Sus scrofa: one gene and its partner. The protein of the gene in region 2 interacts with the protein of the main gene of each other region in a biochemical or structural test. Links are inferred from orthologs where the notes say so. Each region holds a gene or a part of one and is shown on either strand. Other genes may lie near its edges.

Region 1 (3,646 bases), on a different chromosome or scaffold from region 2:
AGAGCTTACAAAGTATAGGAATATTATACTTTTTCCTCAGTGTTTCTGGGAAGAGATCTTAGCGGATTTTACTTTTGTATCTCAATAACTGAGGAGACATTCTGAGTCACTACAAAAGGAGATTAGCCCAAAGAGCTTTTTCTAAAGACGGCTCCCTTTACTGAAATTACATTAAAGATGATCAGAACAAAAAGACAAAATTTGACCAAGAAGGAACTGCTATGAGCTACCAAACTGCAAATAGGATCCCACTGTGTGCCCTGTGTTGTGCCTGTTGCTAGTTTCCCTTCATCTAACCCATTCCTTCCAACTCTCATTTACCATCCGTGGGTGTTAAAAGGAAGTCCCTGGAGACTCCTAAGAAATGACTGGCTGAGTAAAGAAGGCACGAGGAAGTGAAGAATAAAGGCATTTTTACTTTAACTGTAGGAATTTACTGTCCTCAAAGTTAGACTCTGGGGATGGGTGGGCCTGAGAGGTTGGAAGGAAGGAGAGAGCTGTCTATTCAACTCATCATTTGCATCACATGCACCCAAGGAAAAAATGTTTACCTGGTGGAGCCACGGTTAACCTTTTTTCCTTGCTGAGCCGGTGCCCTTGGATGAATTCACTCATGGAAGGGGGGCCCTTCAGAAGAAATGACTCTGTGGAGGTGGGATCAGGGGGAACTCTTAATAAATTCTGTAGGTAGGAAGCCCCTGAAGTCCTGGGACGGCTCTGATCACAAAGGGAAGGTGAAAATTGTCTTGCAGGAGATCCAAGAAAATACATATAGGAAACAAAAAAGTTTTACTTTAATTACCTTTCAAAGCCTCACCAGTGACAACATTATTATATTGGCATTTAATTTTTTTAATATGTAAACCAAGATTTTTCATTAAATATTTAGTTTCCATAGCAGGATACAACCCTATTTGGAAACCGTACTGGATACTGGAAGAGAGATTTATTATAGTTAGTTTGAACTACAAATAGAAAATATTTATATTGTTTGATTCTTTACTGAAATTTCCTACAATAAAAATTTTACCATCAACTGAAAATACAGGGTAAGTAATTCAATATCCAGGACTCTGGAAAAAGGTTATAAAATCAAGCCACTAAAAACCTTACAAGTGATTTTTTTTTTTGAGCAATATTCATATACCAAATGAAAAAAAAAAAGCACAAAAACCTGCTTAAAAAAAAAAAGACTATACATATTTAATTTCATTTGCCCTAAATAAAGACATTCCTTTGAGTCAGTCATCAGTTTTCGGAATATGGACAAAATTCCCCTAAGAACACACATTCATATCCTTGCCCCATTAGAGAGAAGCTGGTAAATAGCACCATTACCAGAGGTACAATGGCTTTTAAAATTATCACCCATGTAAAACATAGCTTCATTCTTAATATTCACCTTTTTTCTACCCAGTTTTAGGTTGGAGGTAAGGGAGAAGCAAACTTATGCATACAAGGAACAGCAAAAATGTTAACAGACACTCGAAGATTATATTATGGTTAACCAAAAGGTGGGGTGTGGGTGACAGAAAGGAATAAATAAATACAATTATCAAAAGGTTTTAATTTGGAAAAACCAACACTGGCAAGGCCCATTTATACACCCACTCCCAGTTTTTCTCTTCTTTCCCTTCCTCCATCCTCCACAATACGAGCACATTAATTTTTGCAGTTAACTAACATCTGGCCACTGCACCAAACTATGAAGATCGCTGCATGCATACCTTTTCCTCTGAGTGCCACTGCTGACCCGAATGTTGGGTGTCTGTGGGCCCTGACTATGCAGGAGGTAAGTGTCTATGGTGGGCACGGTGACTGATGCCTCCCCACTTACTTTAGGGCTGCCGATCTTGCTCTTCCCAAGTTTGCCTTTGCTGCGTCGGGACTGCTCATGGTCAAACTCTAAGTCCTCCAGCCGCTGGGTCAGGGCGAGTTTTTGCTGGATAGCCATTCGTAACAAAGTGTTTAGAGTCTTCTTCTCATCCTCTGCAGCTGCTAACTGTCTCTGCATCTCATCCAACTGTGTGACATATTCATCACATCTGGAACCACAACAGAAAAGTGGTCAGGAGAAAATCTTGGTGAAATTAAATTTGGAACTTAAGAAGTTGAAAATAATGAATTTTACTGGAATTTTAGATATTTAGAACAATGGTCTTCCTCGAGCAGAGTGGAAGTAATCCATTACTGTAGAAAATTAGAAACAGAGTAGGTTCGATAACTGATAATTCATCTATACAAGGAAGTACACATGGGGACATTTTCTTTCTTTTTATGTTTTTAAAGCTGCACCTGGGGCATATGGAAATTCCCAGGCTAGGGGATGAATCAGAGCGGCAGCTGCTGGCCACAGCCACAGCCATGCCAGATCCAAGCTGCATCTGGAACCTACACTGCAGCTCATGGCAATGCCATAGCCTTAACCCACTGAGCAGGACCAAGGATCAAACCTGCACTCTCATGGATACTAGTTGGGTTCCTACTGCTGAACCACAATGGGAACTCCCATATGGGGACATTCTTAACAGGTGGTATCTTAAACCTCAGAGACAGAGTTATTGCGCGCGGCTGATCCACGGTGGCAGAAGATCCAATGTTAAAGTCTCAGGTGAGGTTCACAGCACTGCAGATGTGTTACATTAGCTTTTTCTACTGTGTAACATTGTACTCTTAGGAGGAGTGTGACAAATTTGTTATAGTCTATGCCTGCAGCATGCAAAAGAATAATAATATTTATAAAATGTACTTCTTTATATTTATAGGTTTTATTTTAATTGAGTATAGGTTGTAGTTGATAGTACTTTGAATATGGCAGATTTGCCTGAATTAGAAACCTGAGTATTTTCAGTGATTTCTCAACCAGATGATTAACCAGTAGGAGTCAAAAAACCCCCAAGATTTGTGCAGGGTTTGATACGGATATAGCCAGCTGTCAGAAACACCTTTATTCAGGTCTGATGCTCATGCTGCAGCAGGAAGATAAGCTCAGTGGACTTTTTCCACCAAAAGTAACACCTGAACACATGTACATTTGGAAGGAAGAATTATTCATATAATTTATTCAGAAATTTTTTTCTTTCTGAATTTATTTACCCACTAAGAAAGTAATAACTTTCTTCAAGAACCAGCAGATAGTTACCGACTTTCTGGAATTATCCAAAATGTATTATATCCACTTTGAAATAAACATAAGACTTGTAGTATTTTAAAGACAGAATACTTTAGGAGTTCCCGTCATGGCTCAGTGGTTAACGAATCTGATGAGGAACCATGGGGTTGGGGGTTCAATCCCTGGCCTTGCTCAGTGGGTTAAGCATCTGGCGTTGCTGTGAGCTGTGGTGTAGGTTGCAGACGTGGCTTGGATCCGGCATTGCTGTGGCTCTGGCGTAGGCCAGTGGCTACAGCTCCCATCGGACCCCTAGCCTGGGAACCTCCATATGCCACGGGAACAGCCCTAGAAAAGGCAAAAAAAGACAAACAAACAAACAAACAAAAAGACAGAATACTTTGTAGTCAAAGAACTTGAGATCCAGATGGGTCTCATTATCTTTAACACTGTATGTCAAGAAGCACAGCAGGAACATCATAAGAAAAATTGAGGTTTAGTAAAATAAAATGTGGATTTCAGGATTCCAGATTCATT
Region 2 (4,098 bases):
CAGGCCAGCTGCTGTAGCTCTTGATTTGATCCTTAGCCTGGTAACCTCCACATGCCACGGGTATGGCGCTAAAAAGCCAAAAAAAACAAAAACAAAAACAAAAAACAAAAAAAACCCCAATAAATAAATACAATATCTACTTCAGGAATTCCTGCTGTGACTTAGTGGGTTAAGTACCCTGCCTTGCCTCTGTGAGGATTCGGGTTTGATCTCTGGCCTTGCTCAATGGGTTACGGATCCTACAAAGTGGAAACCTCCAGGGTAGATCTCAGAAGCAACTAGGATCTGGTGTGGCTGAAGCTGTGGCATGGGCCTGAATTTACAGCTCCAATTCGACCCCTAGCCCAGGAACTTCCATACGCCACAGGTGTGGCTGTTAAAAAAAAAAAAAGCCCACTTCATCAGGGGCATGCTCTACCACGAATTTGTTGTGTGACCTTTTTGCAAACTTGTTTTCCTACCTGAGCCTCAGTTTTACCCTATGTTTACATGATATCTAAATCCTTTTCGATCACAGTAGAAGGTGGGCTCACCTGGGCTGGCCCATCTGAGGAAGAGAGGTTGCTAACAGAAGGCCAAGCCACATCAGGCCAAGGATGGTCTTATCAACTAGCAGGTTGCAGAAGTTCAATGGGGGAAAAAGACAAAACCTGGCTTCAATTTTACTGTTCTGTGGGTTTTGTAAGTCATTTCCTTCCTACGAGCTTCAGTTTCCTCATCTGTAAAAACGTGGAGGCCCTGCTTCTGGTAGTTATGAAACTCCTGGGAGCAGGAGTGGAGAATGTACCTAGGAGGGTATCATGGCAGGAATTATAAGAAGAGGTTGGAGAAGGTGGGGGCATAGGTGAAGTGGGGCTCGCAGGAATCTGAGGCAGGGCTAAAGGCTCAGAACTAGGAACCTTCTAAACACCTTAGTACTCTCTGACTTCATCCGCTCTTGTAGGGGTCAATTCCACCTCCACGCCGGCCCCGCCTCCACCCCGCTTCTCTCTGTTCTCCTCCCCTCAGGCTCGGACGCGCCACACTACACATGGCCGCCACTGTGAGACACTTTCCACCGCTCGAGGGCAGCGAGCGCGCTCTCGCGCCGCCACCTCATTCCCATCCTTGCCCGCCCTTGACCTCTTCCGATTGGCTCATCGTATAAGTGACGAAAGCGCTCCTTACTCCACCCTTTGGGTTCCTCCAGGCTCCACCCCACCTCCCCGCTTCTCCCGACGCGAGCGTACACCTAACCACCCCCGGTCTCCGCTGCCGCGGAGCCGGGAAAGCAGGCTAAACCAGGAAGACGCCGTCTGTGGCGCGCACGCGCACGCACGCACGCACGCACGCTGGGGCTGGCGGGGCGGCAGGCTCGTGCCCGGGCTCGCCCCGCGCCGCGCCACAGGCTCGCGCACTCAGCAGGTTGGGCTGCGGCGGCGGCAGCTGAGGCGCTGAAGCGCTGCGTGTGAGAGGTCCCAGGCGCGTCTGCGGCTCCGGCTCCTCCGCCCTCACCCCAGCCTCCGAGCCGGGTGCTGAGAAGGGAGCCGCTCTGGCCTTCGGACCCCTGAGCACTCCCCTGGCTGCTTCCGACACCGCCTTCGTTCCCTTCCCAGCCTCGGGCCTCGCTCGGTGCTAGGCGGCTCTGAGGGGAGGCGGCGGCGACGGCTGCCTGTCTGTGTCGAGGGGCCCTGCCCTCCGGTCTTGCTCCGCTCCGGGCCCTGCAGCGGCCGAGAGAGCTGGGCGCCCGCCCATTCTCTAGCCTCTCCGTCCACTGCTTGGAGCCGCGTCGGTCCGGGAGGTCTTTGGGCTGAGGCGGCGCAGCTCCTCCGGCTCCATCATGTCCGCGGGCGGAGACTTCGGGAATCCGCTGAGGAAATTCAAGCTGGTGTTCCTGGGGGAGCAGAGCGGTGAGTGCGCGGCTCCCCCACTCCTGGCAGCTGGCCGCGGCTTCCCCGCACCGCCCCCAGTGCGGCCCTTCGGCCGCGGAGGCTGCTGCGGCCCTCGCGTTCGCCCTCCGCCCCCTGCCCCGGCCCCGCGTCGGCCGCCCCCTCGTCGCCCCCCGTGCTTCCTCGCCGCGATCCGTCGGGCGGATTTTGCCCCTTCTGGCCCCGACTCCGCCGGCTCCTCTCCCCGCAGCCCGGCCCTCCCCTGTCGACGTGCCCTCCCCAGTCCTCACCCCGCCCAGCCTCCTGTCCATCCCTTTCTTCCTCCGGTCTCCGTCGTCTCGCCAGCTCCCGCTCCCTTCCTTGAGCCCCACCCTTGTTCCTCGCTCTGATCCCGGTCGGTCAGCCCTGCGAGGCCCACCGGCGGGACCCGGCTCTTTGGAACCTCGCGCCGGGAGGGGGGATCTGGGCGTTGTTTTCCCCAGAGGCTTGGCCCTGAGAAGTGCAGATCTTCTGGAAGGTGGAAAGTGGGGAGTCCTAGAAAATTCTTGGATTGTTTTCACCTGGGTGGGGGGTTGGCCTGGGTTCCAGAGGGTCCACGTCGGCCTTGGAGGCGACTTGAGGATGGAGTGGTGGGGGAGTGAGGGAGGGGCGGCGGCAGTGGCGATTTTTACCCGATGGGCTAGGCTGCGGCTTGTTGGAAAACCTCGTTTTCTTCTCCTGACTTTCATCCTTGACGATCCTTTTGGCCGCGTGGATGCTTTTCCAGTCTCTGCCAGGTGCTATGTCATGATCGTTTTACTTGGAATTTTTCACATCTCACCTCTCCTTTTTCTGTTTTAACACGAAGCGGGGTCTGATTCTCCTCACAGTGGAGCAAACAGGAATTACTGGGGAAATGCTAATTATTCCATTTCTTTTTGAGTATTTTCCAATGATAGATTGAGGATTCCTGTGAGAGAAGGCTTTAGGATAACGAACATCTTTGTTTTGTAGGATTTCCTTTGGGGTCAGGGAGTAAGAGAGAGAGAAGAGATGGGTTTTTCATCTGGTTATCTAAGTTAGATAAATACATGATACCATTTTGGCGAAATGCTTCTTTTATGGTTAATATTCCACTGTATCTGATGAGTAAAATCATTTGTTTACCTGACCATGCTTCTGCCGTCATTGTACTTTGTGTTAGATAAAGGTCCTTACTTTGTGTTAGATAAAGGTCCTTATTTTGTGATGGCTGCTGTCTCTAAAATTACTTCTTGTGGTAATTCCAATTTTATGCTGTGTTATACACACTTCATACTCTGCAGTTTAGAGGTGATCACCCTTCATTGTTTTTCTCTCACTTTTCCTGGCTGTCTTTAAAATTGAGACAGTGAGAGATTAGTTCTTACGAAGTCATTAGACATTGTTATCTGTTAGGTGTTTTAGGTTAGGCTATAGAAGACATTTATTTCTTTTGATTGGGAAGAAGATAACTGATGTTAATTCAAGGCTTTTGTTACTACTTTGAACTATTTACACTAATTTGTGTGACATTAAAGTAGGTTAATAATAGTTGCAAAATTGCTTCCAATTAGACCTGAGAAATCATTTTTCTCCTTTCATACATAATTTTTTTCTCCTTGTTGTCTTACCAAGTTTCCTCTTTGTTTATTTTTTCTGAATTTGTTTCTTTAAGTAACTTGAGACCTGTGAGGTTGATCCTTGTCCAGGTATTATAACAATTTTAGGGCAGTGCCATTCATAAAATATAGCTATTGGTCATTATTGATAGGATAAGTGCTTATTGTGCACTCTAGGGATGTTTTTGCCTGCCTGATGTTGTGATGCAGAGATATTTAGTTTGCATGAAAAATCTCCATCCTAGGAAAATTTTAGTATGAATAGTCATAACTTAAGTATCTGCAGGTTTCCTTTGAATTTCTTGGGTATTTACTTCTAATTCTCATTGCAGAGTTTTATAGCTTCTCATTTCTTAACTTCTTTAAGTCTTTACTAAATCCCCTTCCTGCCAATTCCTGAAGCCATCTTAGATTTTTTTAAAAGTAAACTCAATTTTGTTAGAACAGTTTTAGATTTACATAAAAATTAAGATAATGCAGAGAGTTCACATAGAGTCCCACCCAATTTCCCTTATTATTAACATCTTTCATTAGTATGGCACATTTGTTACAATTAATGGACCAATATTGATGCATTATTAAGTAAAGTCTCTAATTTATTCAGATTTTCT

What was found. The genes of interacting proteins can lie anywhere in the genome.
Region 1: the proteins of RAB6A (region 2) and BICD1 form a complex in vitro, tested with the Homo sapiens proteins (3 studies listed by BioGRID). The link is inferred for Sus scrofa from reciprocal best matches to the Homo sapiens genes RAB6A and BICD1.

What each region holds. Positions count from the first base shown.
Region 1 is NC_010447.5:41,937,156-41,940,801, forward strand, and holds part of BICD1 (protein bicaudal D homolog 1), read right to left. Parts: intron 2,046-3,646; coding exon 1,728-2,045; intron 746-1,727; coding exon 552-745; intron 1-551. UniProt on the Homo sapiens protein: Regulates coat complex coatomer protein I (COPI)-independent Golgi-endoplasmic reticulum transport by recruiting the dynein-dynactin motor complex.
Region 2 is NC_010451.4:8,196,310-8,200,407, reverse strand, and holds the start of RAB6A (ras-related protein Rab-6A), read left to right. Parts: upstream 1-1,195; 5' UTR 1,196-1,819; coding exon 1,820-1,889; intron 1,890-2,185; exon of another isoform or gene 2,186-2,622; coding exon of another isoform or gene 2,623-2,644; intron 2,645-4,098. UniProt on the Homo sapiens protein: The small GTPases Rab are key regulators of intracellular membrane trafficking, from the formation of transport vesicles to their fusion with membranes.